Linked DNA regions of Oreochromis niloticus. The protein of the gene in region 1 interacts with the protein of each later gene in a pairwise test. Links are inferred from orthologs where the notes say so. Each region holds a gene or a part of one and is shown on either strand. Other genes may lie near its edges.

What was found.
Region 2: the proteins of nrip1b (region 1) and rorb interact in a two-hybrid assay, tested with the Homo sapiens proteins (2 studies listed by BioGRID). The link is inferred for Oreochromis niloticus from reciprocal best matches to the Homo sapiens genes NRIP1 and RORB.

Annotation. Positions count from the first base shown.
Region 1 is NC_031975.2:3,167,063-3,177,263, forward strand, and holds the start of nrip1b (nuclear receptor-interacting protein 1), read left to right. Parts: upstream 1-5,817; 5' UTR 5,818-6,154; intron 6,155-10,201. UniProt on the Homo sapiens protein: Modulates transcriptional activation by steroid receptors such as NR3C1, NR3C2 and ESR1. Also modulates transcriptional repression by nuclear hormone receptors.
Region 2 is NC_031977.2:12,081,381-12,091,696, forward strand, and holds the start of rorb (nuclear receptor ROR-beta), read right to left. Parts: upstream 4,601-10,316; 5' UTR 4,234-4,600; coding exon 4,227-4,233; intron 1-4,226. UniProt on the Homo sapiens protein: Nuclear receptor that binds DNA as a monomer to ROR response elements (RORE) containing a single core motif half-site 5'-AGGTCA-3' preceded by a short A-T-rich sequence.

The DNA of each region.
Region 1 (10,201 bases):
AGTGTAAAAGTTTGTTGTTTTTCCCTTTGCTCCAGCATCTCTTATTTTTATTGACATTTTATTGTCTTTTTTTGTCTTCCTCCCAAATGTTGGCATTCTGTTTCATTTTCATGAGAAAACGAGTTAGTTGTATCATTTTCAATTTATCTTTTATTTTTATTTTTTAAGCTGTACCGTTTTCCAGTGTCGATACATTTTGTCATCCTTTTTGTCCTTGTGTATTAGTTTTTATGTAGTCATCTTCTTACAGAATAAATGGTACAAAAAAAATATATCAGTCAACGAAATTAACGCAGGTTTTTATGGGGAATTGACTTTTTGCCTCTAGTGGCCATTTCAGGAACTGCAGTTTTGGCATCACACCTGAACGCTCAGGTTCCTGCTTGTTCCAAACCTACAGTGATATCAGTGATAGATGTTTGAAGCATGACTGTATCTGATCACCGCTCTGTTATACTTTATTGTTTAATAAGTGAAAAGTGCATTTCACATACACAGTAATGAAAGGTTATGTGCCTTTTTGTCCTCCATAATTTTTGATGTTGTTGTTTTGTTTTGTTTTTAAATTCTACATCCATTAGTTGAGACCAGCTCGTGCTTTATTATGCCACATTCATAACATGACATTCCCTTGTAAATTGCAGGCTGTGGCACATAAAGCTTTAATATTTTCTTTGTTTGTTTTGTTGACCTCGTTCATTCAAGCAGAACAGTTAAGCAATCCAAATACGCCTCATGTGTCTGTGTGCAGGCAGGTTTTGCTGTCTCATATGGTTTTAGTAAAACCTCCCCTGCAGCTGTATACGTGGGGAATGTCACAACCATTTCATACGCATTCCAGTTCAAAGGTTACAGTATGGTGTGACTTCCAGCGGGCCCTCCCACCGCAGCTCGCACCTGCCTCCTCCCCGAGAGGGCTTTAGCTCACTCCAAACCTCGGGAGATACTGCAGCTGAAATTGGGGAGTAGAGGTCGAAGGTGGAGGGTTAATGTCTGCTGACTCTCCACCTCCCGCCTTCTGAGACAATCGGGCGTCTGACTCTAAACTCTCCTCTGATTGTACTGCAGGGCCGGGAGGACGCCGCTGCAGAGCTGACCCTTGGCCGTGGATTCATATGTTTTCCATCTCTGTTTTCCCTTTACCTTGAAATATGCACTGGGATACAGTTTAAATGTATGGGAAACCAATTCCAAAGGGTCCTGCGGGGTCAGATTACTTCATTTCTGAAGAGATGAACAAATCAAATCTGCATATCCCATCCAAAGATTTGAATGATAATCTGCCCCAGTGACCACTCAGTGAACTCATGCAGACTGACAAAAGATGAGTCACAGATGAACCATCTACACTACCGGATTTTAAGAACGTAGTGCAAAGCTTTGGAATATATGTTTGCCAAATGAGATCGTCTTTTTCACTAATTACTGCCAAGTATTTGCTTGTTTAATTAGAGAAACAGCCTTCTAGAAGAGGCCGTGGTTATGGCACAAAAAAAAAGTCTGAAATCGGAAAAGTTTTCACTTTTATTGCTTCCTACAGTTGAATATTTAAATAATATCGTATTTCAAAATGACAGCTCAGCACTTTTGAACACACTAAAGAAGACACCACGTTAACGAGACAATAAAGTCAGTCTTGTAAAACAGCAACTTCCATTTCCTAATGTCTTTCAAACACTTGGTAAGCTTCCTCTTTTTTTTAAAGCTTTTGCCATTTTCTGCACTTCTATTTTCCTCACACAGCTGCAACCAGTCCGTGAGTATCTGTAACCAACCTTCACCACACAATGTGTTAAATCCCATACATAAATAACATCAAGACAAACTGTTTTCACATGAGGACCTCAGACTTTTTCTTTTTTTTCTTCTTCGTCAGTCACAATCTGTCCCTGTAATTCAGGGTCAAAGGACAGAGTTTCCTGAAACCCATTTCTGTGAAAAGCTTCAGGGGCAAAGTTCAGCGGGTGCTGCTCGGCATGGAGGGGGAGGGGGAGGGAATGAAAGGGAGGATATTGTATCTCCATTTATGTGGCATTCGGGGTCAGAGTTCAAAGATGAAAGGTCACTCCAGTTCAGAGGTTACAAGGTACAAGATACCGTCCAGATTGCCGAGCGGAGCCTGCTCATCCAACTTTTGACGTCTCAACGCAATCGCGATCCTGAGCGGCACTCGTGGCGCAATCAGACAGCAACAATAAAAACAGCAGCAACATCAACTTTTTATGAATAGCACTTTGGCGAGGACTTTGCTCAGACTTTTAACTGCTGCTGTACTCAAAATGCAAATTGCAGGTAACACCTATTGTGAACAACAGCCTTGTAAAAGAAAACTATCCAATTTACCTGACTGACATGTTGAGTGCCGCCTCTGTTTATACTACTGGCAATGAACTGAATTACTGTTTAAACACCACAGTGGGGTTACCGCAGGTTAGAAGGCACAGTATCCAGCTGGCTGAATACAAGTGGCCAATAACACAGCATGATGTGATAACACAGCAGTGGGAGGAGGAGGAGGAGCAACACCCCCCAAACACACACACACACACAAACACACACACACACACATACACACATACATCCTTCTCTCTCGCTCACATTCTCACACACACACACTGCCCCCCCCAAACCTGGATTTGAAAAGGGGAAATAGAGACAGGGATGGCTGGAAGTAGGTTATGTTGTTGTGTTCTCATTCACCAGAACACTAATGTTCCCCAGGTCCTTAGAGACATTTTGTTCAAGGCCATGTTGAGTTGACAGACTGCAGGCCAGTGGACCAGATAGCACAGATTAGCACAAGATGACACAAAGAAAAGAGGGGGTTATTTGGAAGCATAAGGTGCGCAATCATTGGTTTAGATTTACAATGTTTACAATCATGACGAGCGAGAAACATTTTAAAAGTTTCCATGAGCGCATCTTCTGCTCGGCGAATGGCACCCTGCTTCACAGTCAAGTGACACACCTGGGAGACATCTCAGCATCATATCCAAAGGTGCTGTGATGCCATTTATGTTGTTCTTTTCCCCACTTGGTCACTGTGAGGCAGACAGTACAGCTCCAGCACTATGACAGTCTCATATGGAGCAACCTAATGATTTGTTTAGGGATGCTCACAACAAGGTTATTTAGGGCACTTCTTACTTAATCCTCCATCCAACTGAAGGGCTATAATTGAACCTGCTTTAGATGGCTAGATTAAGAAATGTTAGTCTTTTAGATTTACTGTAGTCTGCCTGTGAACGTGGACTGTTTCTGTTAACTCATCTAAGGGGAAGAGCAATTTTTATTCCAAAGCAAAATGTGAATGGTGGATTATCTTTTACTACAATGCTATTTTTAAGGAAAATTTAAAAAAGCACTTCCTTAAAGGGGAAATTCACCAATTTAGTGTTGCACTTTGACAAAGTAAGGAGACTTGAAGTACTTGCTTTCAGGCTCATACATTTCCTGTACTGCTAATTTCTCTCAATACATTTTAACCAGACTTCTTTGGCCACTTAAGTGTTCCAGGCATGAGCATCCAGGCTTTATGTTCTAATCTTTCTCATTTTTCCCCTTTTTCTTTTTTTGTTTTTTAACTCTTTCCCCCGCATGTCAATTCTGGCATTGCCATATTACATATGCACTTATGTGAATAACAATAGAAAATAATAAATGAGAAAGAAAATAAAATGTGGCACTCCTGGTTACAAAGAAACCAGTTTTTGTGCAGTAAAGCATAAAAGTCCCTCTTTAAGAATTTTTTTTAAATTATTATTATTGTCATTTTAAAGGACCTTTTGGAGGTTGTTATATATAGGTAAACCAGCTGCTGTTACAATTACAACTGCAACTGTTACCACTGTGGTTAATGTTAATGTAGCATTTGTTACTACAAGCATGATTCTGTCAACCCTTTGGAACAACTTATATTGATAGTATTAAATAATTAGATTACAAATTATACATCCAAATACAGTTAAATAAAACAAAGGCTTTAAGAAGGTAACACAGGCTCATGCCAAATACTGAACAAGTGGCAACCCTGAGGACTACAAAGTGAAGCCAGTGCCAAAAACTGCAGTTCTTCTAGTGACCACATGGGGCTGGCTCCAATAGTGAACCAATAGACTCCCATATTAAAATGTCCACTTTTGCAACATTAAGAAAACATTTTTTTAAACTTTATAATATGTTTAAAATATCAGGTTTAGGCTTAAATTTAGGGGCCTGGGATGTGCCACTATAAGCAGCTATTACCTGCACTTGTGTGAATTATTGAACTCGACCTCTCAGCCATATTTGCACCATGTTGGTGCCTTATGGAACATTTTTAATTGAATTATCAGGCGAATAATATGTTGTGCTGCATGGTACTGGCCGTCCACAAAGTTATTGTTATTGAAATTCTAGTGTATTAGTCTGAAACCATCAACCACCAAATCAAAAGTCAAGTTTGCGAGCTAGCTAATAACATCACTCCACCGCTTTGTCCAAGAAGGGTCACTTCAAAACGGACATGGCTGAAATGCTAACACTGAGGGTTCAATATGTAGAATCCAGTTAATATACTTGGACTAGGGTAAGGCTAGCAAGCAGCATTCATAAATTGTATGGGTGCAACAACACATACATTTATGTGCTTATTAGCCCTAAGTCACAGGCTAACAAAAGCCAACAGTGGACTTGAGATGTCGTGTTCAGTGACTTCAGTTAGTGAAGGTGAGGCCTTGCAGAAAGGCCCCACCTGTTAAAGAAAGCACCCTCACCCCTAATGCTAAGCTACAGAAAAAAGATCAAGAAAAAAATCTCCCAGCATAATAGTTACAATGGTGAACGCTATCTGCAGAGGCCAACCTGGAAAAATGGTGATTTTTATTGTAAAGTTTTAATAAGGATGTTAAACTGGGAATTGAGGCAGCCTCAAGTGGCCATTTGAGGAATTACACTCTCTATTTATATAGACATGCTGTAATAAAAAAAAAGTGAAGCAAAAATAATAATAAAAAGAATGAATCTGAGAATGGTCGCTCACTCTGTGGGCAATATTCACTTTTAAGAGAAAAGAGCTGTATTTTGTATGTAAGCATTATGTAGCAGCAGGTAATGGATAACAGGTATTGATTATTATATAACATTTTACTACAGTATGTTTCTAACTAACCAGGCAGCTCATTCTCTTTCTTTTGACAGTTCTTTCGTTAAAGTTAGAACACATTTTGGTTCAGCTTGAAGAAAAGCAGGTGTGAAATGTAAAAATGAGATCAGAGGTCAAACGTGACATGATATTTGGATGCAAGCTATAATGTGATATTTAGAATCTCCATATACCGGTATCATTTCTTATTTGTTGCCAATACAAACACGGGCAGTAGGTTTTAAAGAAAACAGGCATTTTATGAAAGTTTTCAGCCAACAAATTGTTAACTTGACCTCGAAGACCTTTGTGGATGTTGGTGGAAATTTTGGATTATTAACATGACCCCACTCCACACACCTACAAAGTTTTATCAGCATTTATTCATAACTTTTTGAACATTCTTTTTTAAAGTAAGACAGAATGAGACGTAACCAAAAAGATCCCCTCCTTGGTAGGTCATTTTAGCCCAGCTCATTCTTAATAATTTAAATGATTAAATAATAATCTGCTAATTAAGCATTTCGATTGTATGTCCCTTGGTGTGAGACAAACCGTAGGCGGTGTATATGACTTAGTTTAATATGGAAAAAAACAGCGTTAAGACCATTTGCTGTACATCTAATGTTAAAAAGCGCTTCCTTCTTGGCAGAGGGAGTATGTGGGCAGCGGCGAAGGCTTGTTCCTTTAAGGGTGGTGTCAGCGGCAGGCGGAGGAGGAGGAGTGTAGCTGTCTGCGCTCACTTCTCCACAGCGAGGGGACTCCGAGAATAAACAATTTCCACAGAATACGCGCTCCACACCTCGGCTCGCTCACAGGCGCAGCATTAATTTGTAGAATTAAAAAATCATATCAAATCAAAACGAGGCTTATTAGAAATTATTTCGGACTTGATTTTTTCCTCCCTCGAAGCCTGCCTCGCCATTTCTGCTTCCTGCCAAAAGTGTCGCGACCGTTTTCATTGGATTTGCCTCCTCCTGTCGAATGATAACGATGCGCCTCTCCGGCTGACTGTGGGGTGGACGAACGCAGGTAAGGGAATCTGTACACGAGCGCACTGTCACGTCTGGACAATGTTATTATTATACTGCTGCGGGTGGAAACGTACACGGGTGCGCGTATGTCGGGCAGTGGTTAGATCGTGCGCTTTTTTTCTCTGTGTGTGTGTGTGTGTGTGTATGTGTGTGTTTGTGTCGGGGATCGGTAACGCTGTTCGTGTGTCGCACGGCGGCCAGGGGCGCTTATGGATGTGTCGCTGAAATCGCTGCATAAAGAAGCGGGGGATAAACCTGCCCGTGTGGCTTTCCATTTAGCCGCACAGCCGCTCAGTGACGGTAGCCAGTGCCCGTATCCTTCGGATCAGTGGCTCAAATTAGGCCCACGATAGAGGCATTTCTCTATAAATGTTTCTCCCCATTCACGCACACACCGCCTCTGAATCTCCTGAAACCCTCCTGCTAATTTTCACAGTGTATTCTGGGCTGTCAGTCTGCTTGGCAGCACGAACACCGAATGACTAATGTCACCCGTTGGCTTAATTTAATAACAGTGCGCACCGTCTTCTGCTTGGAGCACGGCAGCTGTAATGTAACGTTAGTACAGTTAATGTAGTTCATCACGTCGGGTCAAAACACTGCACAGCCCCCCATCTTGTAGTTTTAGCACCACCAAAGGGAAACGCTTCACAGTTGCACCGGTGTGTAGATTACAGTTGGCAAGTCTTAAGGGATTTTTAATGGCCCTCCGAGCGTAAAGGGTCTTATAGTTGACTCATATGTGATTGTTTCAAGGTGTTAAAAGCCACCTGTGTCCACTGGGTGTAAAAATGAATTTGGGTTGAATATTCATTGAGAAAGACTTTGCATGTGTCACTGCAGTAGCACTCAGGGGAAAGCAGGGACAGTGACACTAACCCCTGAGCATGTACAGTAAACACAGTGTAGGCGAAGGTTGTTAAAAATGTTGCAAAGCAGTGTTGCTACAACAACTTTATTACACAGTCAGAATCAAGGTAATGCTTTTTTTAATGCACTCAAAAAGGTGCGCACTTGATGTGTGGCTTAGTTGGTGATTCCCATTAATACTCGTTGTTTTTTTGCTTGTTACTTACACCACCTCTGAAAATGTTGAATACCTTTACCCTCCCCAGGGTCCTTTGATAGAGATTAGTCTAGTCTGCAGACTAAAACACCCATCATTTCAAGTTGGTCTGTTGCAGCCTGTCACATCACCTGGCCGTCATGTCAGATGTGTTTTGATAGATCTCAAAGGCTTGGATGTTTTCTCGGCGAGAGTTTCTGAGTGGCCTTTATGTAGGTGTTCCTTTTTTTCACAAATATCTTATTGCTTCATTGGACTTTGGATCCGTGTGGAGGCAAAAGGTCAGGGGCTGAAGTTTTCTGAGAGTTACCGGAAAGAGGGCAGAGTACAAGCTGCAGTTCAGCTTCTGAAATAACCTGTTTGGATGTTGGAATATGAGGCTTTTTAAAAAAGGTTCAGTTAATTTTCTGCCTTCCACATAACTGCTTAGGCTACCAATCTAAAGTAACGCAGAGAAGAGTCAAACTTTCTTAAAGCCTTCTAAATACTGCCTGTGTCTGGGGGTCTGTCTCTTAGCCTCTCTTTTGTTGAACATTTAAGCTGCTTAATTATTTGACCTGAACTTACACAAGATGTTCAAGGTAGTTCAACTTGTCCTCTGTTGCCACAGATAACGTAAAACCTCCACGTTTATAGCCCAACTTTTTAAGTTGTGCTTTGTGAGTGTTTGAGTGTCTGGCCTGCGTGCTGTAATTCAAAGGATCCTCTGTGTTGGACGGGGCTTGATTTGACTCTGCCATCTGCTGTTGTCCCGGGAGCTGCTGTTGAGTGATGTGCAGTAGCCTGCAACAGAACCAGAGGACATTCAAATGGCCAAATGCAAATGATGCCGAGGCTGCTCAACAGTCACAAGACTGGACTCTGAACTCTCTCCTCTCTTGTCCACTGGCTGCCTTTCATTACTGCAGAATCTTATCTGCCATCAAAACACTGCTGCCGCCGCCGCCGCTGCTGCTGCTGCTGTATGAAAGTGGCAAGTTTTGACATGAGAGTGTGTGTGTGTGTGTGTGTGTGTGTGTGTGTGTGTGTGTGTGTGCTCTTGCAGGTGTGTTCTGCACATCTCTTTTGCACATCGTGGAAAACACAAAGTAATTTCAGAATCCCCCTGCTTGTTGCTACTTTGTGACTTTGAATTATGTAAAGGAGAAATCGCTGTAATAAAATGTATTTTTTTTCACAGGATGACTCCACAGAGTACTTGCCCAGCCACTTACCTCTACTAACAGCTTCCCTAACTACTGCCACTGTGCCAGCTCAAACTCTTACTGTTTGGAAATCTGTCATAGACCACAGCACGAGCACAGGGTGGACAGAAATTGAGAGTGGCGTCCGCTTTTTGATTGCTGAGATACTCGGCAGCAAGAAAAAAAAAAAAGAAAAACTAATGTGCAATCTACCAGAACAAGTGTCATGCATTTACTGCAGAGTTTTTGATTTATTATAGACCTGGGAGATGCCCAGCACTTGTGTTGTTGGCCACCGAACATTGTTCAAGGGCACTTTGACAGTAGATGTGAGGAGCAGAAGTGCATTTCTCATCTACTTACAGGCCCGCGCTCTTGTCGGCCCACTGAGGATTCAAAACCAGACACCTTTGGGCCACAAACTCATTTCTCTAATTGTTTGGGCTCCATAATGCCAGCGCGGGGCGTGCATTAAACCAAATCATTTTATTGTTCCATTTATCGTTTGTTTGTTCAGCAGACACTCTTCTAATAACAATGGTCAGAAGTGCTGCTGTAACAGGAAAAAGATTTACACGTGACAGTTGTGCTGTAAATTTCACAGTCAGAATGAAACATTTATCTCTAATTAACAAGACAGAAGTCAGTGTTGTGTTCAATCAACAAGCTGAAATGATCACTTTTCTCTGATTTACTATTAAGTAGTGCTAATCTTCTCTGTCCCCTCTTCCGTACAAATTCTTGCCCAGTGCCTGTGTCACAAATAAAGGTTTGCTCGATACTCCATATTTATACTTTTTCGGTCCTTTCTTGTTATGTTTACCATTTTTTAGAGAAATGCACAAACCTTACCTACACGCCAAACCCCCCCTCCAACCTGTAATCTGTAATGACATTTCTCCTTTTTTTTTTCCTGTCTTGTAATGTGATTATTTTTCATACTAAATTCAAAATCTGAGTAACTACAGCCTGAACCCCCCCCCCCCCCCCCCCCAATTAAAGGCCCAAACTGATATCAGTAAATGCAGTCTTATCTGCTGATAACTTATCGGCCGATATTCAGCTGATCTGTCAGTGCATCCCTGGCTCCGATCGTCTGTCAGTGGCTTTTACATAAGCAAATTTCTTGAAAATGATTGTAATGAGCACTAGGCTAAAATATCAGGGCTTGAGTGACTAATGCATAAATACAGACTGATGGAAACCAACAGTGCTGAATTGAAATAGACATTCAAATTACTACTGGAACACCGCTATTCTAAACCAAGCAGAAATGGGTCACGCAGATAAGCACACATAAAGATGCATGTGTACCGTTTACTGATCGGGGTGTATTTTCAGTGCATCTTCTCCGATTTTTCTCCCCCTAGAATGCCTACACAGTCAGAAAGTGATGTGGAACTACAGAAGTTTGCTGTTGCTTTTGGAAATGACATCACCGTGGGGGCAGTTGTGGTGTCTTCCCACTTAAAAGATTTCTGCTCTCAGTCATAGCGAGCCGCTGTGTCTCATTCAGAGACAGCGCTCCTGCTTCTGTCACGAGCAGAAGGCAGCCAAAGTCAATGAGACTCATTTTGATGACAAAGCAGTAACTGCTAAACGCTGCTTTACAGCCACCGCTCCTGGATGCAGGCTGGAATGACGAAATGTGAGGAAGAAAGATGGACTCCTTCTCTGCAATCCCTGAAAGCTATACTAGCCAGAACTCATCTGTTGAATGATTCGTGCCCCCCTGCACCCACCACCGCCTCCTCCTCCCTTTTGGCTTTCGCCTTCACCTCCAACTCTCCGCCCC
Region 2 (10,316 bases), on another chromosome or scaffold:
GAGAATTGACTGAGGAGGAAAAACAGTTCGCCTAGGCTCCCCTAGACGGCCGCGGAGGGATAAAACCAACACTGGGTGCATGCTGAGCGCATGCAAAACAAACACAGGCTATGATAGTGGCTCAGTGGGACGGCAGAAGTGCTATCCAGGCAGCACACGCACGCACAAAGCATGGTGGGATGTTTTAAGTAGATGGCTTGAAAAAAAATCAAAAGGTCAGGTAAGACACACTAGGTGAGGAGTAGACGGTGAGTCTTGAATGCAAAATGAGTGTGTGTAAGTGTGTGTGTGTCGCAACAACACTCTGGTGCCGGTACCCGATTCAGTCAGTGGGGCTGTGTTGAGGGATTAACAGTGTGGCCTGCATGAGCTTGGGGTAATCTCTCCTCTCTTCTTACATAACACTAGACCATTACTCAGCACAAACACATAATAAACAACACAATCAACAACACTGAGCTGGACAACAGACCACACATGCAGTGATAACAGTGCAAAGCAAAGATTCACCCAGGCCAGGTGCCCAGTGTGGGGCACAAAAAGAGGTTTCATGGCGACAATGGAAAGCAGTGATTTGGTGTCAATTAACCTGAAGTTTTGGACTCAGTTTCTAAATCAGTACGAATAATGGCAACTTATTTTCCATGATCTTACTCATAGTTGGTACTGAAAGTGAAACACAGGCACAACTTAGCGCCACTGATCTTTAACTTTTTACTTTATCCCCCTTAATGGGACGTGATACAAATACTAGAAGTTAAATGTAACCAGAGCGTAGCTGTGAACAGCTGTGTTTATTATTTTGCATAATTTCTATGAATTCACGTGAGTCTTCCTGTGTTGTCATCCATGTGCTTGTACATCAGCCTTCCGCTTGTTTGTGCTCACAGGAGAAAAACAACAGTAAACACTGAACACTGACAACCACAACACTTAAAGCACTAAATGGTGGAGGTGCTTCTTTAATAGTTTCTACTGTTATAACAAAAGAAATCATAGGAACAAACATGAAAAATACAACAAAAAAAAGATAGAGATGTTTAGACTCCAGTGTAAACTAAAGCCATTTCAGTTGTGTGCCACAGATTTATCTAAACAGACTGCTTCCATTGTCTTTGACTAAAAATTGATCCCGGGATGCTTTCGAACTGGACAAATCAATTCGCAAACGAGCCTCTAAAGCAAAGCAGGATGGGACTAATTCTATTGGCATGAGGCCGTCATGCGTAGTATTGCAGCTGTTTGTGTCAGTGTGCGTTTTCAGAGCCTTCGGATTTTTAATGTGTGCACATGCCACCTTTCAAGGTAACATAAACAATGCCAGAAATGGAAATGACCACTAATTCTTGTAGATTTGAGACAAGTATTTTTAATGACCCCCCCACTCCCACCCACACATTATTCTGGATCTCCTGCCATTATCTTACTACTTTATTGTGCTTTCATACTCTTCCACTTCCTGTCATCCCATCTTTTCCCACAGTGTTAGGAGAATGAGAGATGGTGATTGGCACATACTGCTAACAGAGGAGAAGTGGCCCTGCGAGCCCCTCCTCCACTGTTGCTCCCTCCATCGCTGAACTTGTGGACCTGCCTGACCTGGGTGCTTTTGTAAGCTCTTAGGCTTATAACAGTAATAAAAAGGATACACATCCACGGGATAATGTAGACTGTGGGGATCACTGAGTAACACAGGAAGCTACTCACTTGCAGAATACATGTCAGTTCATGCTTGTGTGATGCTGTGTATGTTTCCAAGCACGCATATGCTAATCTCACAGAGGGGCTCTGATCTCATATTGATTATAGCATTGATAAATGATTTGGTAGAAGGTTGCTGTTGATTGGCTCAGACATTCTTTAGGTAAAACTAATTTCTGCAAAAAATGACTTTAAAAAATCAAACATTCATTTACAATAACTAAAACGATTCATCCAAATAAATAGGGCATAATTAGTTAATTATATTTCATTTATTGTCTTATTATAAAGACGTAAAAACTAAAACTTGCCACTTAAACACATATATATGTCCACTTGCCACTGTTTCTAATGTCATTTAATGGGTTTTAAAGGAACACCTCTTACAGCAGAGCTTCACCACATTGCTGTTGAAAATACAGAGATAATGAGCCTGTTTACAACATCCTACACAGCACTGAGCCAGCTTCGTTTTCAGAGAAGCAGAAAAGGCCTCTTATGATTATATTATATCTGTTATTTCTCTGGCTTTTCCAGGCCGGGCGATGGCGTGACATCATCTTCGGTCAGGGCTTCAGGAGCTGTGGCTATTGTTAAATGATAATTACCACGGCTCATGAGGGGCCTCTATTTTTTTAAAACCTTGTGGTTGTGAGCACGTTTCTGTGCAAGGGCAGCCGAGACTCCACACACACAGACGCGCGCGCACACACAGGTTGGGAGTGGGGGCCGCACGGCCCACACTGATTTAATTCTATCTGACAAAACCCTTTGGGGCGTGCAGAGGGAGAGAGGAAGATGGAGAGCGAGGGAGAAAGAGAGAGATAGACATGGTAAAAAAGGGGTGAGAGAGACGCTTCAGGGGCCTCTTCTGCCAACCATGGCTATAAAGTGAAAGCAGGAGCTTTTGGTATACCCCCCCAAAGCCTCCCATGCACGAGAGTAGTCGCAAGGCCCATTAAAATGTGGATAAAATACAAGGTGTGTGACAGAAGAGTTTGCCATGGGATTGCAGACAGAGGGTGAGAGGAAAAGATGTTTGGCCTTCTCCTGTCTTTTCTTTTTTTTGTTTTCTTGCCTAAGGTTTGATGGGCTGGAGCTGAGGCAGCAGATAGCTTTACATCTTTACATGACATGGACACATGAATAGATTGATGTTTGACCTTTTTTCCCCAAGTAATAACTGCAATAAAATAATCCGATTACAGAGGTTTGTTGGTTAAATCATTATTTATCATCATAACTAATAATCAGGTTAAAATAATGGTAACGCAAGTTTGCTTAATAATTATTTTAAACCGATTATTAGGCCTGTCTTCTTTTCAGAACATACATACAGCGGAAAAATATGATAACATTATTGTTCCATGTAAAAAAAACAGTAATGAGTATTTTATTTTTAAGCTAAAAGCTATAAGCAGCATTTTAATTTGACAAAGCACAGGCCGTTGATTTCTGTGCCATGCCTTTACTTTGAAGGCGACTTTGTAGCCTTTGATCAAAATTTTCCAATAATTTCTCACCTCCAATATAGGAACATTCAGGCATCATAAAGGCCACCTCATAAACTAATTAACTTATTTCTGAGGCCAGTAAGAAGCGGTCCGGCCAGTTAAAACAGATTGGCTTATAAATTAGAGTTCAAACCATCCAGCTGAACGAGTGTTGCAACTTTAGCGCCAGCGGTAATTGCACAACGTCGAGAGTAAATAAAGCGAATTCCAAAACACTAAGCTGATAATAATAAGGTTAAATATTAAAGCCTTCGCGCTGGACTTTTAATGACCGATGAACTGCAAATAGTCATGAAGGAGAAACGAAAAACGCGCATTTTCTGCTGTTAACGGAATTTAAACGTCGAGCGAAAGGCTAAGAGCAAAATGACCTGTGCGCGAGCGTGTCCCTGTGTACCACCGTGCGCGAGACAGGTCTTGGTTATTGCGTGCGTGCGCGTGAGCGTGCAGAGGACGGCATTGATAATGAATTTCAACATCCTCAGCGCGGCGCAGAGCGTCGTGGAAATGGGTTAGTGGAGCGCTTGAAAGTGCACATCCCTGAAGCATTCAATAAAGTTTACCACCAGAACATAACGGAATAAAGTTTTTTTCTTCTGCACATGGGCTAATCTGATCCGATCTACCACCCTATCCGCAATTTCCGCCGGTGTGGAGTGGAGCTCAAATGATTAAGCTAAATATAATGCGGCACTTTTAATTTCCAATCCCAGACTCCAGTAAAATTTGCAGGAACGCGGGCCTGTTCCACACACACGCTCCTGAGTCAAAACACACACGGAGAAGGATCCAAATAAACTTTTACAGACTACTTAAGGTGGCTGATGAGATTTCAGAGAACTCCAGACACACTGCTTTGAGCTTAACATTGGATAAAAAAGAGACAAATTCAGATTTTCGCCTAAACCTCCCAGAATAAACTTTCAAAGCTAAACGAGTGATAAAAGCTCGTAGTGCTGTGTGTGTCTGTGTTAAGTGGGAGAAAGTGCGAGCACAGTGGGATGGTCTTACCTCGCATCGTGTCGGCGTTGCTGGAGCTGGTGCTGAGGCTCGCTTCCCAAAGCAGCAGTCATGAAGAAACAAACACTTAAAATAAAAGAAGGGGCTGCGGGGGGTGGTGGTGAAAGATCCTCGGTTAAAAACAACAACGAAAGGAGTGTAGATGATGTGCGTCGACGTCCACTGGCTGCCCTGAGTGGAAGCGTCTCTGCGCTAAAAGCATCCCAGAGCGGGGCGCAGGGAGGCGGGCTGAGGTCGGTCGGTGCGTCGGTCTGTGCGCTCTGGTTGTGTGGCCGCTTTTCTCATGATATCTGCGCTCTCACCTCTATGGGAGGGTTTCACTATTTTCTGCGGGCTGAGGGAGGGAAGAGCGTATAGGAGAGCTTTACCCGGCGGCCCGGATTGGACTGGAGCACTTTCCGCTCCTCCCACTCTCTCCTTCTCAGCCTGCAGCCTGGAACCTGCACACGCAAACACGCGCACACACATGCACAACCCGAACCCACTCTTAGTGCGAGACACAGGCAGTCTCAGCGAAGTTTTTAACCTCACCTTCCAATTACAACACTCTTATACGATTAGGGCAGTTTTCATCTATACACATAAACAGTCTTTGATCTGGTCTCGTATTTATAGAGATCTAACATTCTGCCCAGCAAGAATAGATCCCCTGGTTCTATTTCGTTTTTACTGCTTTAATAAAATCCATAGAAACACGCACTAACAAAAACACTCTCTCAGTATCGGTTGACTAAAGTAATCTACAAGTCCAGGCTTATAATTCTGCAGAACCTTTCAAATGGCTGCAGAGTTGATTTTATGAGTAAAAATTACTTTTTGTGTGCAAAGCAAAAGTTTAAAAAAAATTAAATTTAGTTAAAAAAAGAAGTACAATTTGCAACTAAATGAGAGATATGCATTAGCCTGATAATGACAGAAAATAAAGAAACATGATTGCACTTAAGTTTAAACCACATTCACAAAAAATTCCTTTAAAAAATGTTTAAAAGAATTTTTAAATATGAACACACACACACACACACACATTGTCCCAATTGAATGGAAGCCTTTCTTTTTTCTTTCTTTCTTTTTTTAATTTATTGAATTGTTAAAACTTTAACAGTTTTTGCATATGTGCATGGATCACTGCACCCAGCAGGATACTTTGTCACTTCAACCTCTGCAGATGTTCACACTGAATCATAGTGATTGCACTAAATAACACAGCTAAGATTCTTATATCAGTTATATTGAAGGTGATTATGTTTAAAACGACGATAAAACATTTTTTTTCTCTCCAAAATACTCATAGAAAGGTGAAAATAGCTTATGCAATAAAAGAAGTGCAGCTCAAATAACAGTAGTCATCTCAGGTGTCTCGGGGAAGATTTTCAGGGTGGGGTGCTGTCCTTCCTCAGAGAATCACTGAAATGCTGAACTGGACAATGAAAGAGAAGGTCTGTGTTCTGTGACCATCACTGCACTGTGTGTTGACTGAGCAGGTGTATGCTGCAAGGTATTAAAATGTCTGCGTGTCTGATCAAAACCAGCCAGGTGCTCTGAATTTCTAATCATGTTGATAACTGCGTTAACTAATTTTGCAGGATTATTTTAAATATGCAAACTTACAATTTAAGGTTGTTTTTTTTTTTAACCAGCAGGATTTTACTTTCAGGGAAAATTCAAAAGTTCACGACCCAGTCACGACAATCAAAACGTGAGTATCACAATGATGGATTAAATAAATATATAGAGCAGGTGATTGACTGGTTTGTAAAGCCATTGTAGCCAGTGCTTTATACACTTAGAAAACACTGGTGTCAGTTGCTTTATCTTCAGATGGCAAAGCTTTAACACAGTAAAAATTGTGAAATAGTGTTAGCAGGACATGAGATAATGCTTCTAAAAACTTGTTATAAAGTCATTTAAGGTAACATATGATCTTTTCTGGTGAATTTTCAACTATAAAGGGACAATTAAGCCATCTGTCTCCCTTTTTTATGTTTCAGTGTTTGCCAGCTGATTTACAACCTCAGCACACTCTCAAACTCATAGAGGAAAAACCTGCCCCCCACCCTCCCAAAGCTAATCTTTGACCCTGGACTGACTCATGGTGACCTCTGGTGTGCTGTGCTTCATAAAATATTAACAAAATGTGAAGAAATGAAATGAAACTTCAAAAAAAAAAAAAAAATCAAAATGATAAGATGATAAAGAAGTGAGTGTCTTTCCACTCAATGCTGAAAAGAGCCACCCTTGTCAGTCACAGTTAGCATCACACTCAGTCATAGGCATCTGCCATCAGAGTGGTTTTCTAAAAGGTAACGCTGCTTCTGTCAGTGTGTGCAAGATGGAACGGAGGCAGGTGTGTGTGTGTGTGTGTGTGTGTGTGTGTGTGTGTGAGAGAGAGAAGCACTTTCACCCCTGGTCTCTTTTAGCCTCTTTTGCTCTGGCCCTGGGAGAGACACACACACAGAGAAACAGAGAGAGAAACTGCCCCAAGCACATCTCCACTGACCTACATTTCATCCGTCGCTTTTTTCCACTCTTCTTTTTTTTCCATCTCTTATTTCTCCCGTACCAACAGCTCCATAATTGTGATGTAATGACCAAAGCAAGCGTGATAAAATCGCAGACTGGTCAGGGTGAAACACTCTAGAAGACAGGCAGACAGGAGAACGAGATAAGGGCAAGACGAGATAGAGAAAGATAGACGGGGCGGGGGAGAGGAGGGTCCAAAAAACGATTCGGGGGGTGAGGGGTGTCTTAAGAATACAATAAAGGTTTCTCCCCATTTTGTCAATGCAATAAAATGTGTCTTTATGTGATCTGTGTGCTGTGTGGACTAGAATCCGTCTGAGGGCTGGGGACTCCATTAAGAAGGATTACCCCTCATTGCCAACCATTCACTGTCCTCCCAAAGCCACAGAGATAGCAGAAAAATGACTTTAAACATGAACATAAACTACGGCGTCTGCCGGGCGAGAAATTGTGAACAAGAACATAAAGGTTGCGTTTGATGAGATATAATGGCTGCTCTGCCCATATGGTGGTAAAGAGGGAGGAAGGGAGCAGACTGGGCCATGCCTAAGGGCTGAACTTGGAGAAAGAAGCACTTTCCTCTGAGATGGGATCTCGGGTCCTTCTGCCATTTATGTTTCGCTGTCTGGTTCTGTTGGCTGCAAGATCCCGTTGCTACATCTCTGTCTGTCTGTTCATCCATCTATGGTCCTCCTGCCTTGAAGGACGTCAGGTCGAACTGCTTGGTTGATTGATTGTGGATTTGTTTTGAGATGATCGTGTCTGTCATTATCCTTTCATGCTTGCACCCAGTTGTTTTTTATGCTTTTAATGTCTCAGCTTGTCACTCCCATCCTTCTCTGCTAGGATTTGTGGTTTTTAGAGATATATTTCAATAGTTATTAGATGGACTGCAATGAAATAACCTCAGAGTAAAGCTGGCATTATGCCTCAATCAGTCGTGAAGGCTTACAGCAGAGATACCCTCGAAACAAATAGCACTGCCATCAGCCTCAGCTGTGTTTAGTGCTAATTAGCAAATATTAGCCCTGTAATGCCAAGAGTATCATATTTTATACATTAGTTTGAGACACATCGTTGTGATTTGTTACCCTAACCCACTTATATATTTTATTTTGTTTCATATATGCCAATTGATATTTAATTTCTTTTTTAAATGTATTTGTCAGAAGGTTCAATTAACACTCCAGTTTCAAAAAAATGTGAATTTTCTGGCAATTATTTCATGGTTCAGGCTGTTGGTGGGCTAACATGGTAAACTAACACAGGACGTCGCTTAAGTTCAGCCTCATGGAGCACTTAGCAGCAGATTTCATTCCTGTTTGACTTTTTCAATCTGCAGCATCAAAGTAACACGCAAATCCTACTTAAGCTTTTTATACTTCCTTCACAAAATGTCACTAAATGCATCGCAGTGGTTAACCATCATCAGAGCTGCCTCCTGTGCTGAGGTGATGTTGTCGGTGTCTACGCACACGCGCAACGACACCAAAACAGAGCACATCATGTGTGAACAAGACACCGGCGGAGAAACACGAGAGAAAACGGCAAGCCAGGAAAGAGCTAGAAGTGATATCCTTCTTTCTGTTAAGGCTGTTCATTCAGTGCTGCCCTTGAATCGACCACTAGGAAGTTAACTTATATATAATTAGATAAGTTTCCTCTTGAAAATAAGAAATTAGGCCACAGGTCTCTGAGGAATCTCCCTCTCAATCTGACGACATGTTCCACACTGCCTCTTATTTTCCCCTGAAACAAGCAGGTGATTTTTTTTCCCTGTAAAACTATATATCTGCATGTGCATGTATGAGCATGTGGGTCTGCAGCTTGAGTGAGTGTGCACAGCTACACTAGCAGTGCACTCCTAAGTGTCTTGTTTTATTATAACATATCCTTCTTTGCAGGGACTCACACAGACACACACACCTGCACTATGTGATCGTAAATGTATACTGTCATGCGAGGCTGTAAAATAAAGAGCTTGTTCATTTTTTTTCCATTAGCCCGTGGACGAAATTGTTTCACACATATTTCCTCAGTGTAATGTGACATTGACACATTGACATGTCAAGTGAGAGCTCGGAGAAAAGAGAAGGAAAGCCAAAGAAAAAGGGAGAGATGAGAGATGGAAGAAGAGGACAGAGAGAGAGGGAGAGACTGAAAATACACTTGAGAAATTTGCCGAGAGATACCACAAGTGACATAGGCAATTTCTGTAGAAAAATTACTTCATCATAATTTCAATCCCAAAAAGAATTGAAAGGAAAGCCCTGAAGGAGGAAGGCCAAGTCACCTTGAGAGGCATTAGGGGAAACGCTTACCCACTGCGCACACAGACACACACACTCCTGCAGACACACACTCTGAATACGGTACAGTACAATTTTGAGTCTTCATGCAAATCTGAAACTTTACGCTCACGTCGTTCTGTAATGAGTTACTCCGCTGTTCAGCCACTTTGCCCGCTTCCCTCTTTTTTTTTCTTTTAATACTAGTGTTATATATCTGTGTTAAGTGTTCAGAGCCTGTGGTATATCAGCGTTAAAAATATACAACCTATTAGTCTGGCTGCTACTATTACGAGCATCATCTAATCAAAGCTTTATATAGAGCCAGTGGTTCAGACAAACAGTTTCATGTCTCTACCTCACAGTGCCAATCATCTGATTTTAATTGGATTTCTCTATTATCTGTTTTTTTTCACACAAAGCCATTAAGATATTAAATCTAGTTTTACTTTGAGTCACTCATTTCCCCCTTCTCTCCTCTCTCCTTGTTCCTCTTAATATACATATATATTTAAATATATATTTTTTTTCGTTAGGCATATCGAATATGCCTCTGTAGCCCGAGGCTCTCTCTCAAAATAATTTAGTCGTCGTTGATTTCTCTGGGAGAGCTTAATAAATGTTGACGTTGAAATGGGGAGGAAATTGCAAACGGGGACTGTGTGAGGCTTTCATGTTCAAGGCTACTTGATAGTTATGTTGATTTTCTGAAGCAGTATGTAATGATACAAACCAGCCGAGGATACAGAAACAGCTTTCCGAATCAGCCTCTGCAGTTAATATTCACAGATGGTTTGTGAAAGACGGGTCGGCCTAAAGAGGAACACTCCCCGACATTAGTCTTTATTGAAGAGGACCAAGTCAAAGTGTGCCTGTCAGATTTTAGCGAGCGTGTGCAAATTACACCTTATCCAGAACAATCAAAGATCACGTCGTGTGCTGTTTCATATGTGTGTGTGTGTGTGTGTGTGACGTTGCATTATAATCACATTTCATACCCTTTCTCCTGACATGTCATGCTTTAGTGAATTTGAAGCTTTTTTTTTCTACCTTGCTCTCATGAGACATCACTGGATTGATTTACAGTAATCCCACTCATCAAAACAAACAGATGTATCTTTTATAACCACCTCATTTTAAACCTTTCCAACTCCTACTCCTTGACCTCTGACCCCTTTCCTGTTTATAGGTGTCCAATCCACGGGGGGCTCTTCCAGAAGACCAATAACGGAGCCCAGAGGGACGCCATCCAGAGATCCTCTTACTGTCTGTC